Notamacropus eugenii: one gene and its partners. The protein of the gene in region 1 interacts with the protein of each later gene in a pairwise test. Links are inferred from orthologs where the notes say so. Each region holds a gene or a part of one and is shown on either strand. Other genes may lie near its edges.

Region 1 (7,310 bases):
TTCTCTGAATGGTTGTGGATGATATGGCCACCCAATCAACTATGAAAGAGAAGAATTCATGCTCAGCTGATGCCAACTGACTGGAATGAAAATGGAATTGCCTTTAGATTGCTTACAGAGAGGCAGTGGAGTCCAGTGGATGGAAGAATGGACAGGAGACTCCATGGTTATTACACCATATATTAAATGCCAATCTCTTCAACATTCCAAGCCCCCAGAATGGTAAAAATTTGAAAATGTGTTAATAGTTAAGGTGAGGAGAGAAGGGAAAGGAAGGGAAGGCTAGTTAATAACTGGATGCAAAAAAAAAAAATCTTTCACACTTATTAAATGTCTACTAAGTCCAAGGCAGCCTGGCTTAATGGACAGAGTCAGGAAGGCCTGGGTTCAGGTTGGACAACCTTGGACACATGGGTATTAGTTGTATGACCCTGTGCAAGAAATTTAACCTTTCAGTGCCCCCAGGCAAACCTCTAGGTACCCCTTTGCCTTAAAAGAAAGAGTTTCATAGCTAGGAATTCTTTATGCCAAGGAAATCCTAAGTCTGACAAGAAAAAAAAATTAAAAGCCTGAGGCATTATACATTAGATGGGGATTCAGAATGGAATGGAAAAACTGCCCCTGCCTTCCAGAAGCTTACTTCTAATGAATCGACCCAGCTCAAGCCAGCTCAGAAGGCAATTTTATCTATCTGCGACATGGAGAAGTTGCCACAAATGACCAATCTCCTGTAAGTATGGAGTTAAATATCTTAGAAGAAAGCAGTCTACATTTTCAGATGTGAAGCAAACGCAAGTATTAAGATGGCCTGAGATAAGATAGCCTTGGACAGGATGAGATCTTATCCCGCCCTCTATCTCACAGAGTTCTTACTGTAATTGGTGTTATAATAGCTCATTATCCACAGTCAGAGTTCTGTTCAGTGAGAATTTCAAGGCAATGACTAAGGGGGAGCACCCCCAAATGAATACTTGAAATGCTCCCAGAGTGTTTTCAGGCTTCTACGCAGCAAGTGGCCAATGATGGCTGCTGGCCCCTTTTCTAACGCAGAACCCCAGCTTGAATTTCTTAGATGATTTCTTGAGATTTTCTATTTGTTTGTTTTTAAAATTCTGATCGACAACACCCCGGTGTTGACTGGTCATTCCACAATTGACTTGGACTGAAGTGTCCTTGGAATGGGGGGGGGGGGGGGGGGAAGAATGACCCAGAATATGGAGTTAGTAAGTCAACAACATTTATGGGATAGCAGAGGTGTCAGGTTTTCAACGCCCAAAGTTCCAAAGAGCAAATATCTAATATTTATCCTTGAGGAAACTGATCCCTTCCAATTTATCGGCTAATAAAAGGGCTAGTGAATGAAGAGCTTACTGACCTCAGCCGCATTCAGTATCCACTGACAAACCTAGAGTATTCTGCTATGCAGCCTTTCCTCAAGGTCTCTTGCACACAGCAGGGGCTTAATACATGTTTATGGAGTTAAACTGACCATGACAAGGAAAAAAACCAACTACAGGGTATTTTTGTGCCAAGATGTACTTTGAGATTTTTTTATGAGTCCACAACTCACTAAATGCATCAAGATTTGCCCCCATCTATCCGACCCCTCCAGGGGAATTTATTTAAAGAAAATGATCACAAAGCTCTCTACTTTGGAACTCAGGTCTTGACCTTCCAAACCGCACTGTGATATTTATTCTTCAATTCTATTAGGAGCCCTTCCAGGGTTTTATGAGACTGGCCATGCCCTCTATCTCAGGGTAAGGCCCAGGTAAACAATGTGGAGGAAAATTGAAGGGGGAAATACTACAGGCAGGAAAGTCCAATGATTTCAAACAGCTCCGAGAAATGAAAACGGAAAACAAAAGCCTTCAGAAAGCACAAGTGGATCTCTATTAACTGACCCCTTCAGTGAGGTGTAAGGAATCCTCTCACCAGACTAGCCTGCGTGGGCTTCAAGGGAGGAAAGAAGTCCCCACACCTGGCAGCGAATACATGTTAACATGAGTTTAAGGGAAAGGGTTTTTTCCCCTTCCCACATATCCCCAATGCCGCTTTCTTCCCTCTCCCCAGTCCCCCCACAAGCCCAGCGTTGAAAGCAGGAGCCTTGAAGCCACCCCTGCCTCTCCTGGCACCGCTGGCCTCTCGGTGCCTTTAGACGTCAGACAGCCGGGGAGCCTCCAGCAGCGCAGAGAGCCCACAAGGGCAGCCCAGAGACATTTCTAGCCCCATTCATTCCTCCCAGACCCCCCCTATTCTGCGGCCGGGGAAGGCAGAAGCGAGCTTTGGGACCCTATCGGAATGACACGAGGGAGAAGAAGGAGAGGGGCGGGAGAGGGGCCGGAGCCCCCCCGCTCCCGGAGCCTTCTCGCCCCCTTCCACCTGCAGCCCCAACCCGGCCGAGCTCAGACAAAGTTTGCCCGGCACTCCTCGCTCCGGGAACCAGGACAAGTTGAGCATCGGTCCGTTCTCTACCTTCGGCTGGGCTCGGGCTGAGCCCGGCGGGGCAGTGAGACCCCGGCCAGGACCCCAGCCTCTGCCCCTTTCACCCCACCCAGCCCAGGCATATCTATCCATTCCGCAGGGGGTTCCCATCTCCCCAGGGACGGGGTCACTCAAGCGCCTGGGACCCCCTAGCCCTCCCCCTGGAGGGGTGCCCCGCGCGGCGGGCGATCGCCAGCAACCCCTCTGGCATCAAGCCCTCCCTCCCATCCCCGCGGGGTACAGGAGGTCCTGGGCGCAGCGCCTCCACCCAAGCCCGGCTCGGAGGCTGGACGATGGAGCGGCCACTTACTCGGACGGGTCCAGGCTCTTCCTCTCGATGGCCGAGGACATTGGCGAAGGGGGGGGCGCGCTGCTGGGGTGGGGGTGGGGGCTCCTTTGTCGCGCAGGGCCAGGCAGGCGGCTCGGCACCCCTGGGTCCTGGTCCTCCTCCTCCTGCCCTCCTCGGGCAGCGCGGCTGCTCACCGGCCGGCTCTGCCCTCCGCCCTCAATGACATTCACGGGCTCCCTCGCAGAGCCAGCGGCAGAGCCAAGGCGGGCGAATCCCCAGGGTGGGGGGCCGGGGAGGTCAGCGGGGTGCGGGCCCGGGGATGGGCTGGGATGGGACCTGCCTGGCCGCCGGCCCCCGCGCAGCTCCGCTCTCCTGGCTCCGGCACTCAGCCCTCCATCCCGGGGAGCCTCGCCTGCGCCTGTCCCTGCCGGCCCGGCTGCGGCTGCGGCTGCGGTGCGGCAGGCTCGGCTCGGGGTCCCCCTGCCCTGGCTGCGGCTCCGGCTCCGGCTCCGGTCCGTCCCCGCCGCGAACCTGCGCCCCGGAGTCCCCGCACACCTTGGGCTCGGGCTTTCAGAGCGCGCGTGTGTGATGGGGCGGGCAGGAGGCGGCCGGGGAGGGAGGGGAGAGGAGGAGGAGGGGGCGGGTCCGGGGGCGTGCAGGTCTCCCCCCGTTCTCGCTGAAATGTCTATTTTTTGCTCAGCCTCCCTCTGTCTCTGGTTTCATTTCCTTTTTCCTGATCACGATTCAAATACAATAGAAGGAAATCACATTTAAAGAGACAGCTGCCCGTTTTATTTCTTTTCTTTTCCTTTTTCCCTTTAAAAAAAAAAAAACTGGGCTCCTGGGGGATTAACAACCCAAACAGCAGCGACCTCACGACTGACCTGGCTTCTTAAAGGGGGCAATGCCAGGGCTGGGGGGCTGGCTGGGCGCTGCACTGCCCACCCCTCAGGGGCCGAGGTGGCCTGAACCACCTCAAAACCATCCTTTGGGAATCACCCCTACCCATCTTCCTTTCTCTTAACTAAGGCTGAAAGTAAACAGGCTTGCCCCAGAGAAAAACATTTTGGATGACAAAGGGCAGAAGCAGGACCACTTTTCGAATCACAGGTGTAGAGCTGGGAGGGACCTCAGGGCTACTCTGGTCCAATCCCTTCATTTTATAGAGAGATGGAGCGATTTCTCTCAAAGCCACAAATTAAGTAATAGAGATGGAATCCCAAACCCACCGTGGCAGATCAACTGAGACACTGAGAGATATAATGGAAAGAGCCCGGGCTGTGGAGCCAGAAGTCTTGGCAAGGACAACAAATGTGCAAAGGTGTGGAGGTGGGAGAATTCAGAAAGCCTTAGATCCTAGTTTGGAGTGACAAACATGTCAAACAATCCAGAAGTCTGAAATAGATGAAAATATAATTGGGAGATGTTTAACCAAACAAAAATACAATATGACCTAGATAATGTAAATTTGTGGTTTCCTAAGTCAATGTGTGATCTGCAGGAATCTGTTCTTATGGATAGGACAGTAGGCTGGGTCTGCAAGACTTGGGACCAAATTCTGCCTTTGATGCTTTCTGCATGTGTTACCTTGGGCAAGTGTATTAATTTCCCTGGGCTCCACTTTCCTCTACTGCAAAGTGGCGGGGCTTGGATTTCAGCTGAAGATTTATGATCCTCTGTAAACTATAAAGCCTCCTAAGTGGTCTCTTCATCTAATCTCTTCCTTCTCTGATCCATCTCCCATAATAATTTTTCTAAAGCACAAATCTGACTATGTTACTCCTCACCTCAAGAACTTTAAATGGTCCAATTCATTTTACAGATGAGGAAACTGAGGCAAACAGGGTGGAGTGACTTTCACAGTGTCTGAGGTCAAATTTGAACTCAGGTCTTCCTGACTCCAGGTCTGGCACTCTATCCAGTGGACCAGGCAGGTAGAATGTGAGCCCCTTCAGGGCTGGGGCCTTACAGATGAGGAAACTGAGGCCCAGAGCCAGGATTTGAACTCAGGTCTAAATCCCATGTTTTCCCTATTGAACCACATCCATTTGTGAGCAGAAAAGAAATTCCTGAAGGAACTTGCTATTCCTTTAAAAAATAAGGTTTTTGTCTTGTACCATCAAAGCCTAGTAAGATACTTTGAGCAAAGCAGGAACTTCACAAGTGCTTGCCCTGGATCAAGGAGCTGGAAGATTGCTAAAATCCCCCTTCAAAGAGTCGGTAGATGGTCGCTCTCCTTTTCCTGGGTCTTGAAGCATCCTGTGAGGAAGCTACATTTTAATTTTTTTCAGTCAGAGACAATGTTTATTAAAACACTATTGGGGTGGATGAAATTTTAAGAATCCTTGAATTTGTAATGCTTGTATTGACAAGCAGGGCATGATTTAAGAATCTGAGTCAGGAAGCTACATTTAAACAATAACCTTATATCAATGTGAACTGGTACCATGGTACCCCAAGAGACTGGAGTGACAATGCTGGGCACTGGAAAGAGCATTGGTTTGGGAGTTGGAAGCTCTGGTTTCAAATTCTGCCTCTGGCCCTTACCATCTGCGTTTCAGTTTCGGTCTCAGTTTCCTCATTTGCCAAAGGAGGTTGTTGGACGAATTGGCCCCTGGCACTTTTGGATCTAGGATCCACAGCATTATTTCTAGGCACATAGCTTGCCTGTAAGGAGTATAGGTCACAGGAAGGGCATGGGTTGACCTTAGGAATGGAAGGAAGGTTTGTCCAGATATTGGGGACAGGCCAGGTTAGGCACCCCTAACCTGGGGTTGCAGTGCTAGAGATCCCAGTTCAGCAGAGGTGGGGGGAGAAGGGAGACATTTCAGAGCCTGTGCAGGGCTTTCTCCCCTGCTTGAAAATGCTGAACCGATCTAGTGGTTAAACCTGTTCACTTATAAATAGCCAGTAAATAACTGCAAATACACTGCCCTGCATTAATGATAAGTAACAGCAGGAAGATTCTTTTGCCCTTCCCTCCAGGCATCCAGAAGGAGCCAAATGAGATGTTCTGATTTTCGAGCTATTTTATATTCACCTCCAAAGGTAGAAATAGGAAGGGTGGGAGGAAGGGGCTCATATTTACCAACTACTCCATTTCCACAAAACTCACATTAAACAACCTCATTAAAAAGCACTTATAAACTTTTAAAAAAAGTATTTCTTAAGGGCCCTGGGACAGTGGGGCTTAGAGAGAGCACTGGATCTGCAATAGAATGAGGGCAGTGCTATGCACTAACCCAGTGACCTTGGACCAGGAGCTCCTCATCCCTCATCCCTCATGTGGAAAATGGTCTGGATGATCTCTATAGCTCCTTCCAACTCTGATTTCATGCTTCCTGACTTGGGAGCATAGAGTGATAGACAGAATTAGAGCTGGAAGGGACCTCGAATGCTAACCTGGCCAATTCCATCCATTTACAGATGAGGAAACTGAGGCCCAGAGCCAGGATTTGAACCTAGGTGGTCTTATTTTAAATCCCATGTTATCCCTATCGCACCACATCCATTTGCTACCAGAAAAGAAATTCAGGGAAGAACTTGCTATTCCTCTAAAAAATAATTCTACTGATATCTTTTGTTTTTATATTGCTTTTATTACCTTCTCTTCCCACCCGCAGTGAACCAGCCCTTAATCCAGAGAATTTTTTTAAAAAGATAAAAAAAATCATTACGTGGTACACAGCTTTTTGGTACATATTTTTTTGCTTGCCAACCTTCCTCCATTAGATTATAAGCTCCTTGAGGGCAGGCATTGTCTTTTGCCTCCTTTTCTATCTCCAGCACTTAGCATGGTGCCTGGTACACAGTAGGTGCTTAATAAATTCGTACTGAGAGGAATCAAATGCTTGTTCCTTCAGGGCTGTAAGTCCAGAGACCAGTCCCCACGACCACGTCAAGATTAATCCCTGGACTACGATGCATATATTTTTATCCCTCCTATGATTCTCCGGCCTTCTTACTCTAAGAACTGGGTCCCTGACAATATGAACTAAATGTATTTTCCTGGAGTCAGGAGGCTGCTAAAGGAGCCACTCTATATCCACAGCCTTCACTATATATTTTTAAGTTATTAATATAAGAGACGTTCTCATGCTCAGACACTTCCTTTTAATGGGAAAAGCCTCCCAGACTTTCTCAGGCAGCCTGAATTATGTGATAAATATTTAATGTCACACATAATCACTGTACAATCAGGAAGGAGAGTAAAGAAGGGATAAAATTCATGGGGGTCCAGGTCCTAACTGTTTTATAATTCTGAGAATCGGAGAGATCAGAAAGTCAGTGAGGATGAAAATGAAGGCTTTCACAATTTCCTTAAGAAAATAAATCCTTTTTTTAAAAAAACATGAACAAGCTAAGAATTTTTTAAAGAATTTTATAATAACATATTAATGTTTATTATCTCTGAGAGCAAAGAGTATGTTTGCATTTCTTTGCTTTAATTAAGTCTGATAACAAGCCAGTTATTGTCTTACATGCTCTAATTCTGAATTGGGGCAAGAATCAGTCACAAAAATAAATAGATCTTTGG
Region 2 (7,437 bases), on another chromosome or scaffold:
TGTGCTGAGGTCAGGAAAGGAAGGAAGGAAACAAGCATTTATTAAGAATGTATGTGCTAGGGACTGAGTTAAACACTGTACAATAGCATCTCATTTAATCTTTACAACAACCCTGGGAGTTATTGTCCCAGTTTTCCAACTGAGGAAACTGAGGCAGGCAAAGGTTAAGTGATTTATCCAGGGTCAAATTTGTATCTGAGGTCAAATTTGAACTCAGGTCTTCCCGACTCTAGACTCAGAATTTTATTTACTGAACCACCTAGCTCCCTACTGGGGAAGCTGAGACTGGTAGATTGTTTGAGCTCTGGAGTTCTGAACTGCAAATGGGCTCAAGTTGATTGGGTGTCTGCACTATTGGTAGGCCCCTGGTAACAGAATGCCACCATGCTTCCTTAAAGAGGGTGAAGCAATATAGGCTGGAAGCAGAGCAGATCAAGCCTTCCATCCCCATCAGCAGAGCCCTCCCTCACTTAAATCCAATTCACTTGCAAGTCAGGATATCACCTTCCTGATTTCATGGTCCTCTTCTAGAACAAAGGACAAACAATGAAATAGGACCAGGGGTAGGGAGACCTGGAATCTCTCCCCAAAAAATTAGGTAAAATTTTAATGGATAATCAATGGAAGGAGACATTTCACGTGAACGAAAAGGTGTTGCGCTGGACCTGAGACAGTAAATTTTAAAAGTAGTTCAATTTGGCAGGGCTGTAACACACAATGAATACTAGAACAGTGGCATCCTGCTAGAGATACAAAATATCCAATCAGTCAAACATTTAAATATAATAATATATTCTGATGTGGCTTTACAGGTTTCAAAGCATTTCTGCAAAGCATCTCAACAGAGATGTTGGGTTTTATGGAATTTATCTGGGATTATGGAATCACAGATTTAGAAGCAGAAGGGAGCTGAGAGGCCGGAGAGTTCGACCCCTTTATTTTACAGAAGAAAACTGATGAGCACGGCGTGGGGCGATAGTGGGAGTGGGGAGAGACAAAGTACAGAAGAGGCATCCGAGAGGAATGGAGCGGGGCAGGGGAAGGGAATGAGAAGGAAGGAGAGAAAGGGGGGAGAACAGGAGGAGGGAAGAAGAAAGGAAGGGGAGAAGAGGGGAGGGAAGAGAAGTAGGAGGGAGCGCGCAAAAGGAAGGAAAGGGCAGTTTCAGGTGCTAGTGGGAGTGGAGAGATACTAAATATAGAGGAGGAAGAGGAGTGGGGAGGAGGAGAGGAGAGGGTCCCCAGCCCTCACAGCGCTCACAGTTTTGACCACCCAACTCAGCATCCCTCCACAAGCCTCCTCCCCATCTTCCCCACGCACACGCGGATGGGAGAGACACCAGGGCCCCAGGCTCCAGTCCAGGTGCGGCAGCTGTCCACTCCCCCCGCGTTTCCCGACGGGGCCTCCCCCAGCCTGGCCAGCCGCCCTCCTGGAGTCTTTGCCTGGATAGCCCCAAGCAGCAGAAGAAGGGAGGGATGGGCAGCCGGTGCTGCACCTAAGGGGAGGCGGGGACCTGAGGCCCGTCCCGTCTATCCTTAAAAAGGAAGTTGGGGCGGGTCCCACCATTCCAGACATTGGCGAGGCGCCTCAGAGCATCGCCCTTTTCAGAGCCGTCCGAGGGTCCTGACCACCTGGCCGGACTGCCCCGCCCACGCTCTGTCCAGTCCAGAGGACCCCAGGTTGGCGGTGAGGGTCGGAGTCCCTGCCCAGGCACCCGGGGCGTCCCAGCTGGGGCCGGCTGGCTGGAGCAGCCGAGCAGGGATCTGGTGGGACGGGAGCCCACGCGGGAGGGACGGACGGACAGACGGAGGGAGGAGCGAGGGAGGAGCCTCGGACGGGGGCGGAGCCCGAGCTGGAGGCGCCAGTGACCGGGAGCCCGGCTCAGGGGCCGGGCCGGAGCGGCCGGAGAGGAGTGGAACGGAGCTCGGACGGGGAGCCGGAGAGCGGAGGGGCCACGAGCCGCGCGCAGGTAGGACCCCCGCTGCCCGGCCCGCTCCCCCGGAATCCCGTTAGATCGCTTTCCTGGAGCGCCCCGCCCCCGAGTATCCTCGCTCCTAACCGAACTCTGTTGGGGACCCCCCCAAACTTTCTCCGGCAAAGGGAGCCCACCTCTCCCCATCCATGATCAGATTCAGCGTCCCCACCCCAATACATGCACAGCGCCCCTTCTCTCCATCTTCACTCCAGTCAGGACAGTTCTGTTTCCCCCAACGCTGGCTTCCCAGGTCCGACTTGGAATTCTGTCTCTGAGGAACTGACGGGGGGTGGGGGGGAAAGGAATGCAGGTGGCTGGCAATCCTTTTTTTTTTTGCCTCAGACCCCTAAGGGTGGGAGATAGGGGTGGCATCCTGGATAACAGTTCAGACTCCAACATAAAGGGAAAAGGGAGCAAAAGGGGAAGGGTATTCAAGAAAATTGGACATTAAAGTGCACCCCACCCCCCATCAACACATTTTCCATCCCAACATCTCCAAAAAACCCTAGGAGGAAGTACAAGGGTGAAAGGGCTATTCCTCTTCTAGTTTCTGGTTTGCTCTTTGATCTCCACTAGACTGGGGAGGGGGTGTGGCCATAAACAGGTCAGTTCGGGATGGTCAGATAGCAGTGCCCATTCTGTAATCAGGGAAACTTCTAATGACCTCTGCTAACCCCCAGGTTGGGCAGAAAGGTACCAAGTGATTAGAGAGGCCAGAACTGAGGGGAGTACAGACTGCCTCTATATCTGTCTCTGTCTCTCCCTGCAAGGGGGGAGAAGGTATCGGCCCCCTGCCCAGCTGTGTTGGGGAGGGTGGGGCCGGGGACTTTTCCAGAGAGGGAGCCAGGCCTGGCCCAAGCCCCAGGAGCTCACGTCACCCCCACCCCTCTGGCCCCCACTTCTCTTGGGAACAGCCAGAGCCAAATCGAGCTAGGAATGGGATTATGTGTACTAAGTAGAGACCTGGGGAGCCATAGGCATAGACCTGGGGTGGCAGGGATATAGATCTGGGGGAGAGATAGAGAAATGGCCAGCAGACCATTCCTCCTCCAACTGGAAGTTAGTTTGGTTATCATCTCTTTTCTGCTTCAAGGTAAGGGCTTTTATCTCTTCCCTAAGTGAGCAAAGGGTTAGGAGCAGACAAGTAGACATTTATGTGAAAGTATGAAACCCTCTCTCATCCACCCTGCCTGGAACCCCACCATGGCCCCCTGCCCCATAGGCGTTGTTGCTGACCTCAGCAGGGCCAACCCAAACCCTGGGGAAGGGAGGAAGGGGCTGCCAGGCCCAGGCAGAGATGACCCCAGCCAGTTCTGATCTGACCAGTCATTTCCCTCCCCCACATTTTCAAGTCAATGGGTAATTGCAGGGAGGAACAGTAAAGATGAGCACAGATCCTTTTTATGCACCTCCATCCAAAATCTGTCTCTTTCATTCTTTCCCTAACCCCATGGTTGGCCCAGTTCTGTTTTGGTCCCTTGGACTCCTCTCCCGGGTGCTTCTTAGCTCCAACAGAAACAACTTTTTTTTTCCTGGAAAGCAGAACAGAGAACAGGGGAGGGGGCCCAGGGCTCAGAGTCTAGGCAAAGGAGGGAGGTAGGGAGCAAGAAAGAGGAGTAGCAAATCCACAGCTTCACCAGGGCTTGGAGTTGAAAGCTCTTGTTGGTCTACATAGGATCAGAACTAGATTTTAAGTAGGACTTCCTTACTTTCCAAAAAAGGGGGAGCCAAAGGCTCTTTGCTGCTTAGGATTTCTCATTGCAACACCTAGCACATTATCTTAGTTGGGCAAATTGATGAGTGACTGAGCTAAGACAGGGGCTTCTTCTGGATTGCTTGGGCCAGTGGTTCACATCCAGCTACAGAATTGTGCTACTGCTATTTAAACCATCAGCCAGTTTACTTGATTTACAGTTTGAACTGGAGGCAAGAAAAAGACAAGAGATTTCTAATCTTTGGACCTGTAGTCCAAAGGAAAAGCTGAACCAAAGGATATGAAAGTAGGAGACCTCCTGAGAAGAGAGAACCCAGTGGTATGTACCCTCTCTTGGTACCTGCTGAGGTGGGTATGTAGAATGTGCCCTGGAAGCAAGAGGACTCCTGACGGATGGAGCTTGGTACTTGAGCCGGGATAGAAATACCAGAAACCAGAGATTAGGAAAGGGAGATTAATTAGGGTATTGAGGGATTTGGTAGGGGGCAGTGAGGAGAAGGTAAAAGGGATGACTGGGAAAACCAGAGCATTGGGACCCTCAGCTTTCCAAGGGAAAGAAAGAAGACAGCAATCCTGGTCTCTCAAAATAGGGACAGAGAAGAGGAGGAGGTATTAGGTAGTGTTATGTCCTAACTTCTGTCCTTAACCTTGAACATTTTTATTGAGGGGACATAACCCCTTCAGGTGTCTAGAGAAGAGTCAGGGTAACCTTTATTCCTGCCTTTCTTTCAGGTCTTTCTTCACATCCTAAGCCCTCTAGATTTCTGAGTAGTGTGTTATCTCCAGAGGACTGGGGAGATTAGGGAGAACGATGGAGAAATGGGGAAGCAGGTAAGAGGTGAAAATGGGAAGGGGTAGTGGGATCTATCCCTGGGAGGTACAGGAGAAGAAAGCAGAAAGATGGCAAGGGTGGAAGAATGGGTAAGTAACCCCTTCTATTTTCTGACAAGCTGTGAGACCAGATGTAGGGGGCCAGGCTTTGTACCAGCTGTTCCAGAAATCTTAGTGCCATTTTAAGCTTTCATAAAGCTAAAGTTGCAATAGATATGAAAGCTTACAACTGTACTAAGACTTCTGGGACAGCCTGTATAAGAACGATTGTGACCTCAATTCTAGCTATTAACTTTGATTACTGACTGCCTCTGGCTCCTCAGACTAAGACCGCCTCTTATGCTGCTCCTGCTCCTTCCTCAACTCAGCCTAGACCAGAAGGTCAGTGAAGAGGTTGGAAGGTTTTGCCTGCTCACCAACCTTCTAGAACCCTGTCTCCCCAAGAATTTCCTAGAGCCCTTTGCTCACCCCATGTCTCCCTCCTCATCTAATTCCCCAGGCCCTTCCCTATTTGATGCCCCAGTCATTCCCCCCATTCCCATGCAGGTTACTCCAATCCCTCCTTGATTTGTCTCTTTTTCTCCCAAATAGATATCCCCTCGCCACTCACGACAAGCACATCCTGAAGAAAGTAAAATCCCTGAGGGTGTCTGGGGTTCATGGGGTCCATGGTCCCCTTGCTCCCAGCCCTGTGGGCTTGGGATACAACGCCGGAGTCGAATCTGCCAGTCACCTACATCTTTACTCCAAACCGGGTTGCCTCTACCACCCAGGCCACCTCGACATCCGGAACCCTTGACTGCTCGATCCCGGAACGCCAGACCCCAAACCCCTAGGGAGACCCTCCCTCTCTACAAGCCGGAGCCAAGGGGGAGAAGTGGCCCTCTAGAACAAGAGGAGGCTAGAGAGACCTCAGCCTTAAGGAGGTAAGGGAAATGAGGTGGGAATTGAAGGTGATATATCTCAGCAGGTAGATAAGATTGTGAATGGAATAGGTGAGCCTTAGAACAAGAGGAAACTAGAAACTGGGATAGGAAATGAAGTTGATTACAGGAGTGAGGAACAGAAGAGATTCAAAATGTTAGTTATATGGGAGAAGTAAGCAGAACCATAACTCTGTAACTATAACAATTTCCTAGGTCACGTGTTCGAGATCCTATCAAGCCAGGAATGTTTGGCTATGGGAGAGTTCCCTTTGCTCTTCCCCTACATCGGAACCGGAGGCACCCACATGGACAGCCCAAAACGGAATTCCCCAGTGATGAGGCTCCTCAGACTCTATTTCCAGAGGCAGAACTCCTCCAAGACTCTAAAACAGAGGATTTCCGAGCTCTGACTGTCAAAACAGAACCGCCTGTTAATACTCAGCTCCCCCAAACCCAGATCTCTTCTACAGTACTGCCCCCCCAGGAAGACCTTTACAGTCCCCAGAATCTTGGGACAGAAACACCTCCTAATACCAAGTTTCTAGAGTCGCAGATACCCCCAAAGACAACCAACTTCAAAGCAAAGTCCACCCCCACCCCATCCCCCAGAACAGGCAATTCCCTTAATCAGGTCCACCCACAGAGATCACATCATTCCCAGCAAATGGGACCAGAATGGAGAAGATCCCCCCATCCCTCCTCCTCTGCCCCCCGGGGCCAGGGCCGAGGCCAAGGTCATCAGAGAAGGAGAGAGCAGTGGGCACCCAGAAATGCCCATCAACAGGCTGTTGAAACTCCCCCTCACCATTCAGAGAGTTGGCTGCCTTTACTCAGCTCTGGCTCCAACTCAGGTCCCCTCTGGAGCCTTTTTGCCCCCAGTGCCTCTGCCCTGAACTGTCCTGGAGAGAAGGAGCAACTGAGAGCCTGTATCCAGAAGGTGAGCTCTGCCTTGATCCTGGATCATCTAGGCTTCTAGATGTTCCTAATTTGCATAGAAACCAAAGCTGTGCTCCAATAATTTGGGGGAAACTGTTCTGGAAAAGAGTGAGGGATCTAAATTGGGATCTAAGGTCCCAATTTATCTTATCTAGTCCTGAGGATAGATAACCCTCATGTCTGAGCCCTAGCTCCCTCCTTTGTAGGCCTCCATTTTCTCCCTGGGTTATCATCTCCTAGATCTTTGTCGGGAGGCCAAAGGGCATACTCTCCTAGTTTCTGATTCCTTCTTTCCCCTCTGCAAATCACTCCATCCCAATCCTCAACTGCTACCCTCCTATTGTTTTTTTTCTTAGCCCTGACAATTCTGTTTCCCCCAACTTCAGCCTTGCCCCCCTGAACAGCCAGATCCACGGGCCCTGCAGTGTGCCGCCTTTGATCCTCAGGAATTTATGGGCCGACTCTACCAGTGGGAGCCCTTCACAGAGGGTGAGAACTGAAACCCAGGACCCCAAGACTAGGGAGGCTACACGTTGGCCCCTTTCTAGCCCTGAAAATCTTCCATTTGTGCATTATTTTCCTAACTGTATCTCCTGCCTCAGTTATCCCCTCTTTTCTTTAGTTTCTCTCTTTGAGGCATTATATGCCCATGTGGGAGAGTCCCCTTCCCTACAGGACAGGGAAAGGGGATATATTTTCCCTGAATTCCTTAATTTCCGCCTTTCCCTCCCCATCAGGCAGTCTGTGCTGTTTACTTAGCCTGAGTGGCTGGGCGAGCGAGGGGGCAGGAGGGGAGGTGGGGTATATATAGATGGCTCTTTGTGCTTCAGAGGTCTCTGCCAGTACCTAGGAGGGAAAGAGGGAGGGGATGTGTGTGTGCGTGTGTGTGCCTTGTGTGTTTTAGGGGAAACTAGGTCTGTATGATGCCTGATCTTCTCAAAAAAGCAAAGCAACTAGAAAACGATGGAATCATGCTGAGGGAAACTAGCCCCCTACAACTGAATGGTTTTCACTGTCCCCTCTGGCGAGGTCAGCTGTATCCAGAGGTGGAGAATGG
Region 3 (7,318 bases), on another chromosome or scaffold:
CATACCATTTGTATATATGAGAGAGAGGATTTGAACTCGGATCTACTAGATTTCAAAGCTAACACTCATCTACAACACCATGCAGTCTCTCTTGTTATCACACTTTAATATGAAAATTCAGGCTTATAGGAAGGGTAGCCAGAGAGGTATAGGCCCAAGAATAGATGGTTGCCATTATCTGGGATGAGAGATTATTGAGGTCAAGAAATGGACAAGACTCCCAGTTTAGAAAAAAGACATACTCTGATTTAAGCTAGTAAGAATGTAAATAGTATGTAGTTTAGAGCTAGCTCATTTGACAAGAACAAGATGCTTCCCTGTGTTAGTAGGAAGTCTCTAACTTTAAAAAATGTGTGTGTAAAAATAAGCTACCAAATCAGATTATCACTTGACATCAAAGTATATTATAACAAACTGATGTTAAGCTAAGTGGTGATAGCATCATTATCATTTGGAAATGGAAAGTTGTAGGGTAAAACTTTTTCAGAGTATCTGAAGCATTGTCTAAGAGGATCCCCTTTATTAGCTGACTCGTATCTAATTATAATGGCAGGCATATCTTTATAATGAAGAAGTGTGATTGATTGGGCTATTGAATCTTATTGTAAGTATCACTTAAAATTGAGCAAAAGGAACTTTAGATAATTTTGTCACAAAATTTCAGAAGTCTCAGTACCTGAGAGGCTACTTATTCCAACCCATAACTTAACAGTATACCCCAGATAGCTCAATACCAGAAAAAGATAATTAGTTAATACAACTATGTAATTGTGATTAATACATATATATTTCCCCAACATAAATTAAAAAGTGACTTCCTAATACAAATAAATTTTGGGATTTGGGTATCACCCTTGGGTAGCTTAACCACTGTTTCCAAGCATAGACTTTGGATCAGATCGCAGTCAGAGTCTGGACCCATGATGATACCACAAAAATGTAGAAACTGGTAATACCTGATTTAAAGAACTTGCCAAAATGCATTCTTCAAAATTGAAGTTAAAAACATCCCCACTATAGTTTATAAGTTTTAAAGATTTTATATTTTCCAGCAGCTCATCGATATGTATTGGGCAAGTATAGTAGCACAGAAATTATATCTACATGTTTAATGGAAATAAGTGTTCTATTTGAAAATAAAGCAACTGGCTTATTTATTTAAATTACTTTGACAGAAACTGATAAACTAATTTTCCCTTTTGAGGGATTCATTATACGTATTATAATAATACACATTTTGTTAGTGATAATGCCTATGTAACGTACTCCATTGACTGTATTCTCCTGTTGTGCTTCAGTTACACCACTGAGTAGACAAACGTCAGACGTGAGAAAGAAGAAGGAAAAGGAAGTACCTGTAATTGGCCATTTGGTCTACCTGTAACTGTCACAAAGTATAATCATTTCACACTTCTCCCAAGATTATTAATATATCTAATGCTTTGGATGATTCCAATAGGTTGGAATTAGTGTGGGCCAGCTAAAAGTATATGTGACAAATATATAGCAACAAGTCATCAAAAAAAGCCAGTGGGGAAAAGTGAATGCAAAATGGAGCTTGCTTATAAATATGCTGATAGTGATGATGTCATGTGGATTATAGAGTTAAGTATATATGTATGACTGTATTGATATAATGTATTATTTTATATTATAGAAAATGTAAGGGTCTTTTCTTTGGGACTCATTCTCCTTGTGGCTGAAAAGAGCAAACCAATGACCAATAAAGCAGTGACCTCCCCATAGATAATCATTGTTGTGTGTTATTCCCCCAATAAGAGGATGATCATCGTTGCGTTAGGACTTGGATACCTTGCACATTAGACTGGAGAGTCTAAATCAGGTAAACTGAGGGGTACAACTACCCTCATTTGGTTAATCATTCATTCAGCAAGTGTTTATTAAGTGCTTAAAACATACCAGGCTCTGGGGATACAAAACAAAAACACACCTGCCTTTATCTTCTACTGGGGGAAACTGATTACATGGATAAGTAAGTACAAAAATACTCAAAGTAATATGGGATAGGGGAAATGTTCTGAACAATGGGAGGAATCAGAAAAGACCTAATATAGAAGATGACACTTGTACTAAGCCTGGTTGGAAAATAGGAATTCTAAAAAAAACAGTTGAGGAGGGGAGTAACGTCTAGGTATGGGAGATATTCTAATGAAAAGGCTCAAAGGTGGGAGATGAAATGTCATGTTCAGCAAGTTAGACCAGTCTGGCTATGACATATGTAAAGGGCACAACATATGATAAGCCTCAAAAGACAGGCTATGCCCAGATTATGAAGAGCTATAAACAACAAAGGACTTTGTATTTTATTCTATCAATTCAATATGATGTAATCAAAACTTTCCCTGGGGACCATAGGTAGGAAATCTGATCAGAGCATTCTTTCTTTCTAACAGCTGAACAAGCCCTTTAAAGTTTCAGAAAACATGGAGGTCTCTATCTGGAAAATTTCTAGGCATGATCAAGATATTTGTACCTGCTATTAGGTAAATGAAATAATCTCCAAACACAGGAGAAGATTTAGGGAGGATGTGATAGTTTTCTTGAAATATTTTAAGTCTCATCATGGAAAATATATTAGACTATTTTGCAGAGAAACAAACTTTGGCTTCAAACAAGGAAACTATTCCTAAGAGCTGTCTAAAAATAGAATGGGCTGTTTGACAAACATTAAGTGACTGCTATGTGAAAGACATTCCTGAGAGTTGAAGGTAAAAAACGGAACTAAAGCCTTCAAAGAACACACATCCATTGGAAATGTAGTGGGTTCTCCCTAGCTGGAGGTCTTCCAGCAGAAGCTGGAATCACAAGGTGGATTCCTCTTCAGGTAGGAGTTGAACTAAATGACCCCTGAGGCTCAAACCCAGACTGAATCTGTGATTTTACAAATCTTTTATGCTTTTGATGGCAAGTAACTAAAAAATTTAGTTGTAGTAGAAAAATACCTGCCAATGTACCATACTTATGAAAAATTTGCCCAGTGAGTTGTCTTTTCTGAGTTGGCTCAAGCTTTTTGTTAGAACTAAAAAAAGCAGAGATAATGCAGACCAAACTTTCACTTCCCCCAGCCATTTAACCAAAAGAAATTTAGCTCTGTATTTGTTTTCAAGCATCCCTGAAATTCCACCTCATGTGACGAACCAGTTTTCCTTCCTTAAAAAAAAAATCTTGTAATCAGTATATAATAACTTTGGTCTTTTTTATTTCCTTTCCTTGTGTATTTCATATCTTATAACTTTTATGGCACCATAATATTCCATTACATTGAAATACCATAATATATGCATTCTCCAAATAAACAGCAAACATTAAGTACCTACTATGTACAGCATTATGGTGGACTCCACAAACAAAAGTGAACCAGCCCCTACCCTTAAAGTGCTTGCATTCTAAAAGGGAATTTGGAGGATGTGGGGCTTAGGGAAGGTGCAGAAAAACGCTAGGAAAGGCTTGGTGCAGAAGGTGATGCTTGTGCTGTCTTAAGTAATTTGGGATATGAGTAGTTTTCAATTTTTGTCTTTTTCAAATCTCTCTCTCCTTCCCCTCCCTCCATATATGTGTGTGCATGACATTTGCCTTAGTCTTGACATTTTAAATGACTATTATTTTAAAATGTTTGCCATTCCAACAGATACAATATATCCTAACATGTAACTTTCTAACGAATATATTACCGGAAAACTGTTGGAGATACTGTTTCAGACACCTAGCAGATACAAGAAAGCTTGACATTATGTAACTTTCTAACGAAGATATTTCCGGAAAGCTATTGGTGGTAACTGTTTCAGACAAATTGACAATTGTTAATGGAAAGATACATTGTTGCTAGGTTGTAGAGGGTTTCAAAAACCAAATCGTTTATACGTTCCAAAAGTCTTAGTGCAGGTTTAAATTTTAGTATCAAAACTGCACTAAGACTTTTGCAATGCCTCGTATCTTATCCTAGGGAACCAATGGAGTTTATTGGACAAGGGAATGACATGGTCAGTCCTGTACTTTAGGAAAATCACTCAACTGTGTGGAGGGTAGACCGGAGAAGGAATAGACTTGCGATAACGAGAACCTGGACTAGGGCGGTGACTTTTGGAGGCTTTGTGCATAGCGAGAAGGGGTAGAAAAGGCAGGATTTGGCATCTGACTGCAAATGTCGGGGGAGACAGGATAAGAATCGTCGCCAAGGTTACGAAAAATGCTTGCCGCCCCTTTCCGTTCTGAATCTACCATCACATGCTTGTAGGATTCCCCACTCCCTCATCTCTACGGCAACCACTTGAGTCACTTCCCCCTGGCCCGCTCCGGATTGAGAACCGGAAGCAGCTCTGCCGGGAGGCTTCTGGGAGAACGTTTTTCTAACATCCTTTTACGACAGCCGGGGAGAAGGCGAGCCACCTCCTTCCCAGGCCGGGGGTGAGAACAAGAAGGGTACAGGGCAAGCCTGCGTTCGGACAAGTCCGAAGTGGGGGCACCGAGAGCGAGGACCCAGGAGGCTTCATTCATCCGTGTGTCCCAACTGCTGCACCCATAGCCCGAGATCTGCGAGGAAGGACGGAAAAGGGGGGAGAGGAGAACTTGGCGATTCTTCATGGCCACCCTGCTGTGACGTTTTCAACCTCATCTCCGTGCCCCGCCGCGGAGCCATTGAGGGTTGAGTATTCCAAGGGAGGTGCCTGTCTGCAGAAAGTAGGGGCCGTGTGCGAGGGCTTCTGGGAAGAGTAGTCCGGGCTGGGTGTGTGCGGAAGTCTTCAAAGGGTCTTCTTGGAATTAGGTGAGTGCTGGGTTGAGGGTCCGAACATCTCAGGTTGCCGGCATGTCGCCTCTGTGGCTCCCCAGGGATGCGCCTGGGCGTCCGTGGAGGTTCTAGACCCTGCAGCCAGAACAGGAAGATTGTTTTTAGAGCTAGGCCTGCTGTGTCCGTGTCCTGTACCCCTCGATGACTCTTTCCAGCCTCACTCCCTCCTTACTGAGCTGACGGGGAAATTTTTCTTAGAAAATAGGCAAAAAAGAGGGGGAGGGGGAAAGGAGCGTTTCCTTAAGTAGCTTTCGATTAAGCGTTGCTCTCTGCGGCCAATAAATGAACACACATTTTTGAAAAACTACATACTAAGTGCCAATTGCTGGAATAAACCCTGGAAATACACCCAACTAAATAATGATGCACTCCTTCTCTCAAGAAGTTTAACATTCTGTTGAGGGAGACAACGTGGACGTAATTTAGAATATGCAAAAGACAAACCCCGTAATTTTGGAGAGAGCATTAGCATCTTGAGAAAGGTTTCCCAGAGAAGGTGTTACTGGAGTTGTTTTGAAAGAAACAAGGAAATTAAGAGGCCGAGATGAGGGAGTGCATTCCAGGCATAGGATTCAGCCAGTGCAAAGTCAAGGAGATGGGGAAATGGAGTGTCCTGTGTAAAGACCAGCAAGGTCAGTCTGGCTGGACTGCAAGAGTGTGGTAAAAAAGGAGTGGATAATAAGGGATTTTGGAAAGGCAGGCTGGGAAAAGGTTGTGAAGGGTTTCAAATGTCAAAACTCTTTTGTACATGGTATTTGTTTGAATTTAATCCTAAAGAATTAAGGAACCACTGGAGTTCCAGTGAGAAGGTTACATGGTCACACCTGTGCTTTAGGAAAGCCATTCTAGTAGATTTGTGGTGAATGGATTGGATTAGGAAGAAATAAAACAGGAAGAGGAGGTGACAGACTATTACAGTGATCTATGCATCTGGCGATGTGGGCCTGGTCCAGAGTAGTGAGTGTGTGAAGAGATGGGTGACATTTGAGATGTTAAAAAAGTAGAAATATAACTATTTGGCGACTGAATAATAAATATGTGGACTGAGGAAGGGAGGTTTCCAAAAAATAGACAAAAACCTTGCGCCTAGTCAGGATTAGGAGTGAAAAAGCACACTAGTAGAATCTTTTGCTCATAAGGACTTATCTCGGACTCCTAGGGTTGACGGAAGTCCCTTTCTCCTGGTTAGTACATAATGAACTTTTTGAAAAGAATAAAGGGTTCCTTGACCACAGTTACTGAGTAGACTTGAGTCTTATTCAAGTTATTTAAATAAATATTGAAAGAAATGCACAGGGCCTGAGGTGAAGGTAGAAGGAAGGTAGAAGGAGGTAAAATTTTTCTGTCATTTGTCTTTGGTTCACTGGAGGGAAAAAAAGTGTGCTGACTACCCACAAACAAAAAACAATAAAGATCCATATAAGATTTGAACAGATATTACCTTAGCATTACAGATTTTACTGTACCACCCATTTCATCATGCTTAATATTTACAGATGATGTGTACTGAAAATTATTTGAGGACAAAATTAGGGGAGCTGCCTTCAATTTTTAAGAACCACTTTCTGGGGATCATTGAATACATTATCCACAGTTGCTATTAGGTAGCTGTTTCCCTAAAATCTGACTCATACACTGGAGGTTTCTCACAGATTTTTAGTTCATTCTTTGTCTTTCTAGCTAATCTTTTATTTGTTGTTTTCACTCATCTTTGTGACTATATGAATAATAATATTAGTGGTAATTTCTCATATTCATTTTTTTTTTTTTTTTTACAATTTTAAAGGCAGCTGGTGGCACAGTAGATAGAACACCAGGCTTGGAGTCAGTAAGACCTGAGTTCAAATCCAGCCTTAGACACTCACTGCTTTGTGACCCTGGACAATTCTCTTAAGCTCTCTCAACCTCTGTTTCCCTAACTGTAAAAATGGCAATAATAATAATAACACCAGGCATAGTGCCAGGTACATGGTAGTTGCCATATAAATACTTATTCCTTCCTGGTTTGTCACAACACACCTGTGAGAGAAGAAGTGCAAGTATCATTCCCCTTTTTCAGATGAGGAAATTGAAATTCAGGGAAATTTAATAGCCCGAAGTTATACAGCCAATAAGTAGTAAAGCAGAGACTAGCATTCCAACCAGAATAATTGAGTGCTTTGGCTCTTATGACCAGATTTTCCTTTCCTTTTATGAAGTTGTGGTTTATATAAGGAATAAAATATCAATATTTCTTTGTTCAGTCTTATTTTTCTATCTCATAGAAAAGCAAATATCCTTATCGGATGATTAGCTCCTGACTAACCTTCGTTATCATATATATGTCTAAGCTTTTACGGTTAGTTATCTGTTGCTGCTGATTTTTTTTTTTTTGTCCAATATTCCAGGAGTGGTAGAAGAGCTAAAGGTAACTATATTGGACCCCAACTGAAGTAAGTTTCCTTCCGACATAGTGTCATTCAGAATGTCTACAGAATTGAGTGAGGATTCAGTATTGATTTCTCCCACTCT
Region 4 (7,346 bases), on another chromosome or scaffold:
GATACAGGCCACACATGTACAATCATATTAAACATATTTCTACATTAGTCATGTTGTGAAAGAAGAATCAGAACAAAAGGGGAAAACCTCAACAAAGAAAAAAAAGAGAAAATAGTATGTTTCAATCTGCATTCTCCATAGTTCTTTCTCTAGATGTGGAAAGCATTTTGTCTCATGAGTCTTTTGGAATTATCTTAGATCATTATGCTGCTGGGAAGAGCTACATCTGTCAAAGATGGTCATTGCACAATGTTGCTGTTACTGTGTACAACAGACCTTCACAACTTGACAGTAGTTGGGGACAAAATTAAAATAGGCTAAATTTATTCAGCTGCAGATAGGTAAGACTAGAGATAAACTGATGATGGTTGTTTGCTGTGGGTCAGGTGACAGAGAGGAGTGTGCACAGTGGCAACTCTATACTTCTTGTGTGCTGTTAGAAATTCTTTGTTAGGCCACAAGTGGGCCACAGGCCATATGTTATGCAGGCCTAGTGTACAGGGTTCTCCTGGTTCCGTTCACTCCACATCCGTTCATGTAATTCCAGGTTTTTCTGAAATCTCTCTACTCCTCACTTCTTATAGAACAAAAATATTCCATCACAATCATATATCACAGCTTGTTCAGCCATTCCCCAGTTGACGGACATCCCCTTGATTTTCAATTCTTGGCCACCACAAAAAGAGCAGCTGTAAATATTTTTGTACATGTGATTCCTTTTCCCTTTTTAATAATTTCTTTGGGATGCAGACCTAGTAGTGGTATTGCTGAAAAAAAGGGCATGCACATTTTTATAACCCTGTGAGTATAGTTCAAATTGCACTCCAAAATGGCTGGATCAGTTCATAACTCCACCAATACCCAATTTTCCCACATCTTCTCCAACATTTATCATTTTCCTTTTTTGTTATATTAGCCACTAGGATAGGTATGAGGTGGTGCCTCAGAGTTGTTTTGATTCGCATTTCTCTAATCAATAGTGATTAAGAACATTTTTTCACATGACTATGGATAGCTTTAATTTCTTCATCTGAAAATTGCCTATTCAAATCCTTTGACCATTTATCAATTGGGGAATGACTTGCATTCTTATAAATTTGACTCAGTTCTCTATATATTTTAGAATCGAGGCCTTTATCAGAAACACTGGCTATAAAAATAATTTCATAGTTTTTTTGCTTCCCTTCTAATCTTGGTTGAATTGGCTTTGTTTGTGCAAAACCTTTTTAATTTAATGTAATCAAAATCATCCATTTCATAAAGGTCTTTATCTCTTATTTGGTCATAAATACTTTCTTTCTCCATAGATCTTACAGATAAACTTTCTCTCCTAATTTGCTTATAGCATCACCCTTTATGTCTAAATCATGCACCCATTTTGACCTTAATCTTTGTATATAGGGTAAGAGGTTGGTTTATGCCCAGTTTCTGCCATACTATTTTCCAATTTTCCTGGCAGTTTTTGTACAATAGTTAGTTCTGATCCGAGAAAGTGAAGTCTTTGGGTTTATCAAACAGTAGGTTACTATAGTCCTTGATAATTGTGTCTTGTGTACCTAACCTATTCCATTGATTCACCCTTAGTGGGCTTTTTAAAAGGAAGTTACCCCACCCGTGATTCCCTCTTCTTTTGACCCTCTAGAGCAGGGGTGGAGAACCTGCAGCATTGAGGCTACATGTGGCCCTTTAGGTCCTCAAGTGGGGCCCTTTGACTGAATCCAAATTTCACAGAACAAATTCCCTTAATGAAATGATTTGTTCTGTAAAACTTGGACTCAGTCCAAAGGCTGCACCCAAGGACCTAGAAGGCCACATGTGGCCTTGAGGCTGCAGGTTCCTCACCCCTGCTCTAGAACCATTGTGTTGACCTCATTGTATGCCAGTGAAACCTGAACAGTGTACCTGCATCATGCCAGGAAACTGAATGGCTTCCATTTAAATTGTCTTACAAAGATTCTGAAGATCCCCTGACAGGTAAAGTATCAGACACTGAGGTCCTTTCTTGAACTAAACTGCCAAGCATTCAAACTCTACTACAAAGAGCACAACTCCAAGAGGCTGCCCATGTTGTTCAAATGCCAAATGTGCTTCCCTAAAAGACTATTTTACAGAGAACTCACACAAAGTAAGCGCTCACATGGTGGTCAGAAGAAGCAATACAGGGACACTCTCAAGGTCTCTCTGAAGAACTTTGGAATTGATTGTGTGACATGGGAAACACTGGCACAGGACCACTCAGTGTACCCTCATTAAAGAAGGTGTACTCTATGAACAAAGCAGAATTGAGGTAGCTCAAAAGAAACACAAGATGTGCAAATCTAGAGAATCCACCCCAAATGTTCACAAGGATTATTTGTGCCCAACCTGTGGTAGATCATTCTGAGCTCATATTGGTCTGATCAGCCACAGTTGAACACACTGTAACTTAACTCTAACATAGTGATGCCATTTTGGTCCTCTTCGAGAACAAAGGACGACCACCACCAACCATGACCCTCTAGGGGATAGCATTTAGAACTCGGGTGGAAAACTTCCTAGATGACTGAACATCAGTCTAGAGATAGGAATGTCAAGGTTTGCAAAGTGACCTTACTGAGTATGAGAGGTCCAGAGATTTTGGGTCCCTTTTGATTTCCCTTCTAAAGGAGTCCCAAGAAACTACTAGCACTCTTGAAGAAGTTGGCCCCTTTCTGAAGGATGAGCCCGATATTTTTGGCCTGACTTGCCAAAAGACATCTCCTGAGTGTGGCAAAGCAGAGGTGAAAACGTAAAGTACCTTTTTGGCAGTCCCACGAATGCTTTATGTTGGTGGTTTTCTGTATGTCTCCTAGCTGAGTATCACAGTAACTGCTAGTTTAGTTAGCTTGGTTAATTTTTTTCTTTCTGTTACATCTGTGAGTCTTTTGTTTGCAGGAAATAACTAACTATCTCATTCCTGATTTACATCATATACACCAGCTATCACTCTACGCCTCCACTTTGGGAATACGATAAGATATGAACCCAAACTTAAGCTTTAAATAAATCTTCCCCAGTGTATAGTAGTGCGGAAGAGGAGGAAGCCAGAGTCCATTGAGCTCGATGACAGACAGTTGTGAGGCACATAACAGAAACTAAATAAATATTGAATTGGGTTTATTAAGCATATACTATGTACATGGCACCGTGCAGTACCCTGGAAATATGAAATGAAATGCTCTTTAGTCCTCAAGAAGCTTAGCACAGTCTAGTAGTAGGGATACATGTATCTAGCAAGTATGTCTGTTATTTCTGCCTTAAACTACCCTTCTTCAGTACAGAACCAACTTTGGACAAATTAGCTAGAGGCAGCTTTATGCAGATGAAAAAGCACTGGTTTTGGAAGCAGAGACCTGGGTTCAAATTCTGCATTTGTTATTTATGACTAGTTTGAATCTTTGGGCAAGCCTTTCTTAAACTCTGTGACTTCAGACCTCATCTGCAAAATGAGGGGTGCTAGAAGGAGAGTCGAGTTGGAATAAATGGCCTCCAAAGTCCCTTTCGGTCCTAAATCCTTGATCCTGTAACCCTAAATGCTCACTCAGTCCCACAGGAGAAAACTCAGTGACTTTTAGCAAGAGAAAGTGCTTGAGGCAATGACTAGAAAGAGAACTGTTCCTCAGGGGGATGGGCATAATTCCCTGAAGTATTACTCAGCTAGGACTAAGAAAGAACAAGTCCCACCTCCTTTCTGCCCCTTTCTTCATTCTCTCTTCCTTTCCCTCCTCTCTTTTTCTACCCTCTTTTCCTCTTACTTTCTCTTCCCTTCTCTCTTCCCTTCCTTTTCATTCCTCTCTTCCCTTCTTTGTTCCTTCCCTCTTTCTTTTTTCTGACCCTATTTCCTCTCCTTTCTCTTCCCTTCTCTTTTCTCTCCTCCTTTCCCTCCTCCCTTCTTCCTTCCCTTTTCTTTCTTTTCACTCCTTTTTCCCTTCTTTCTTTTCTCTTCCCCTTCTCTCTTCCTTTCCTTTTCATTCCTTTCTGCCCTTTTTTTCCTTCCTTCTTTCTTTTTTCTTAACGTTTCCTCTCCTTTTCCTCTTCTCTCCTCCTTTCCCTCCTCCCTTCCCTTTCTTTTCTCTGCTCCCCTTCTCCTCTCCTCCCTGTCCTTTTCCTTTCCTACTTTCCTCCTCCCTTTTTTCTTCTTTTCTCTCTCCCTTCTTTTCCTTTCCACTCCTCCCTTCCCCTCTCCGTTTCTCCTTCTCTCCTCCTGTTTTCTTTCCCCTCCTCCCTTCCTGTCCTCTTATTCTACCCTCCTTTCTCTCTCCCTCAGCGGGCACCCAAGAGCCCTGAAAATCAGTCGCGGTCCCTTTAATAGCGGGGTGGGCGGGGGCGGGGAGCCGGTTGCTAGGGACGCTATCCGGGCCCCGGGGCTCCCGGAAGTTACGTCAGCAGCCGCGGCCATGGAGGATGTGTTGGATCTCTGCGAGGAGAAGCGCCGCGGATCGGCTTCTTCAGTGAGGACTGGGCCAGCTGGGGAGGGTTGGGCGGCAGCGGCTCGGCCCGGTTCCGGCCGGCTCTCCCCTCCTGCCTTCCCCCTCTGGGGAGGAGGGGACCCGGGAGAGGCCGGGCGGGGCCGGACAGCTCGCCCGGGCCGCCGTGAGGCTTGGGAGGAGCGGAGTGCGGCGGCCCAGAGCCCGAGGCCGACGGAAGCGTTCCCAGTGCCAGACTTTTAAATTCTTAAAATAAAATACGTTAGGTGAAAACCAAGATACCGTCCCCGCCCCGCCCCCCATCTCAGTCCCCAGGACCCCTGGTGAAGCCCCCCGACCCAGAAGGACAGGGGCGGCCCGAGGCCCGGGCCCGAGAGCTGCCCCCCTGGGCTCAGCAGTCACCGAGGGTTGTTTGGGGTGTCGAGTCCCAGACTTGGGGGTTTCGGGACCCGAGGACGCTCTCCGCAGTGTCCGGGGACGCCCAGAGAACTTCTCTTTCTCTGAGTCGTCTCTGTAGAATTTACGTGTCAGAAACCAAAGCTGACAGATTTAAAATGCCCTGAGAGTGCACCTGTTCCATGCTCACATAAATGGCATTTGATGAAAAATAACATTTCCAAAACAAAAAAAATGAGTGAGAATGACGCTGTTTTCGATAGTTTTGCAAACTCTCTGCGTCTGGCTCCCTGGAGGACAGCTGGGTTCAGTTGGCTTCTGCATTCTACCTCTTGGGATGTCTTGGTTTCATTGAAGTGTATTGGGATTCCTACAGATGGGGAGTTGGAAGAGATGGAGCATTTAAACAGGCAGAGAAGATCTTAGTATGATGACAAGCGTCATTTTGACCTCTTGGAGTCCTGAAGCGAGGGTTCTGGGTCCACACTTTAAGAATCCCTAGATTTAAGGAGTGCTGTCATGTCATTAATGGAGGCTCTTGTAGCGGCTGGCATGTTTTAATGAAAACTATATGTTGTATACCTATGGGCATACAGATGATACTCCCTCACTTCTCAAACTCACCAAGAGGGTGTTTCCCAGCTTCACCATCTGTATAAATCACAAGGGTGAAGGTGCCTCTACATTAGGCTAGTTCCCAAGTCAGGCTTTTTTTTTTTTAAGTACAAAGGCTTATCTAAAGGGCATTCTCTTCCTCCCCTTGTGTTTGCTGTCACAGTTATTTGAGATCAGATTCACCAAAGGGTTGGACAGTTTTGGTCTAAGGGCAGTTCATTGTATTTCATTACAAAACCCTCAGTCAGCATGAGGGAAGGGAACAACGGTTAAATATCAGAGTATTGAATATTCCGTCCCAAATACTTTAGGACTATCCCATTTGATCCTCACAACAACCCTGGGGGCGGAGGTACTATTATTATCCCCATTTTACAGTTGAAGAAACTGAGGCAAATAGAAGTTAAATGACTTGTCCACGGTGACGCAGCTACCATCTGAAACAGAATTTGAAGCCAGGTTTTCCTGCCTGCAGGCCTAATGAATGACTTGTACCGTGGTCCCAGTGGAAAGATTCAGTGGAGATGTGTGGATGGTATTCAGTGGCCTCCAAAGAATGTGTATTAGATGGGATGTCCTTGTTTCACTGACCAGCTAAATTGCAATAGTAGGACATTTGATGTGCCTAACTACGTAGTCATGGACAGTGCTGATAGGTCAGTGATGGTACATATTCCACCAAAGTGACCATTAAGAGTTTGTGATATTACTAGATAATATCTTCTTGGAGTTATATTGGATCTTCATAGAGCTTAAAGTCTTTATGCAGTTTTAAACTTGAGTATCTAGGATGAACATCTGTTTTTTAAAAAATTGTAAAGAGCATTTAAGAGCAAATTTTAAAACTGGATTTAAAAAATGGGAGGGAGTAGTTGTCTGGGTGAGGAAAATGAAACAATGAAGATCAGAAACTGTTCTGAATCTTCTGTTCTTAGAGGAGTGTTGGCAGGGGCACTGAGGATTTAACTAATTTGTCCAGAGTCACACAGTTTGTCTCAGAGGCAGGACATGAACCAAGGCCTTCTTGACTCCCAGACCTATGCGTTATTAAAAAATGCACTGAAATTTAGGATAACTATAATATTTTTGAACCTGGTGTGTTGTTATTTCAGGTCCTGAGAAAAACAGAAAAGCTTAGGATATTAAAGTGACAGAAAAACCTTCTAAAAGTCCTGCTTAACTCTTTAGAATTTAGACAGGCTAGTAGTTCCTGGTACTTCATACAAATTTTATCTGACTGAGCCAAGTTTAGTTTAGGCCCTCAAAAAATAATCTCCAAGATACTGAGCCTTTACTGCAAAGGACTTTTGGAAACACCTGCAAATGTTGGTTTTGATTACCTCAAGTTGCAAATGTCCTGATTTCAAAGCATTTTGCCTCAGAATTCTTGAAGTAGTCTCCCTTGGGTGATGTCTCTTAGATGCACATCCAGACAGAGTCCAAGTCAAAACAACTGCTCTCTGTATTTCTCTGGTGTAGGCTGCCATAGAATCTAAGAAACCTGTTTTCCAACAATATTTGGTAACCATTCTCATGCAAAGTTGCAGCTTAGAAATTTGGTTTCCTGAAAATCCTGTAGTTAGATATGGAATCCTTTACTTCTTTTCTTTGAGTTGTGCTATGAGATCTTAGTCCATCCTAAAATTGTGTTTCTGGGTTTAACGGAGTGAGTTTAATCTCCAAATAGTCTGTGACTTTTGGGGTAAAGCTCATGAGAATGAATTGGTTTTCTCCTCTGCTATAGAGCATATCCAAGTTGCTTATTTTAAGGTATACATAAAGCCTGACAATTCTATTCAAATTATATCTTTCTTCCCTTGTGAAAATTCGGTCCTCACAACCATTTCCAGATTTCTTATCCCACTAGTCATTATGAAAGTAACTGACACA

What was found.
Region 2: the proteins of LMO2 (region 1) and ADAMTSL4 interact in binary tests that used the Homo sapiens proteins (3 or more experiments, as listed by UniProt). The two-hybrid records come from large-scale screens. The link is inferred for Notamacropus eugenii from reciprocal best matches to the Homo sapiens genes LMO2 and ADAMTSL4.
Region 3: the proteins of LMO2 (region 1) and zinc finger protein 24-like interact in binary tests that used the Homo sapiens proteins (3 or more experiments, as listed by UniProt). The two-hybrid records come from large-scale screens. The link is inferred for Notamacropus eugenii from reciprocal best matches to the Homo sapiens genes LMO2 and ZNF24.
Region 4: the proteins of LMO2 (region 1) and IFT43 interact in binary tests that used the Homo sapiens proteins (3 or more experiments, as listed by UniProt). The two-hybrid records come from large-scale screens. The link is inferred for Notamacropus eugenii from reciprocal best matches to the Homo sapiens genes LMO2 and IFT43.

Annotation. Positions count from the first base shown.
Region 1 is NC_092877.1:17,525,459-17,532,768, reverse strand, and holds the start of LMO2 (rhombotin-2), read right to left. Parts: upstream 3,017-7,310; 5' UTR 2,836-3,016; coding exon 2,795-2,835; intron 1-2,794. UniProt on the Homo sapiens protein: Acts with TAL1/SCL to regulate red blood cell development. Also acts with LDB1 to maintain erythroid precursors in an immature state.
Region 2 is NC_092873.1:304,419,592-304,427,028, forward strand, and holds the start of ADAMTSL4 (ADAMTS-like protein 4), read left to right. Parts: upstream 1-4,419; 5' UTR 4,420-4,498; coding exon 4,499-4,518; intron 4,519-4,841; coding exon 4,842-4,899; intron 4,900-5,109; coding exon 5,110-5,444; intron 5,445-5,657; coding exon 5,658-6,381; intron 6,382-6,766; coding exon 6,767-6,869; intron 6,870-7,437. UniProt on the Homo sapiens protein: Positive regulation of apoptosis. May facilitate FBN1 microfibril biogenesis.
Region 3 is NC_092873.1:72,398,627-72,405,944, reverse strand, and holds the start of zinc finger protein 24-like, read left to right. Parts: upstream 1-4,308; 5' UTR 4,309-4,783; intron 4,784-7,194; 5' UTR 7,195-7,271; coding exon 7,272-7,318. UniProt on the Homo sapiens protein: Transcription factor required for myelination of differentiated oligodendrocytes. Required for the conversion of oligodendrocytes from the premyelinating to the myelinating state.
Region 4 is NC_092878.1:59,236,804-59,244,149, forward strand, and holds the start of IFT43 (intraflagellar transport protein 43 homolog), read left to right. Parts: upstream 1-4,332; 5' UTR 4,333-4,415; coding exon 4,416-4,469; intron 4,470-7,346. UniProt on the Homo sapiens protein: As a component of IFT complex A (IFT-A), a complex required for retrograde ciliary transport and entry into cilia of G protein-coupled receptors (GPCRs), it is involved in ciliogenesis.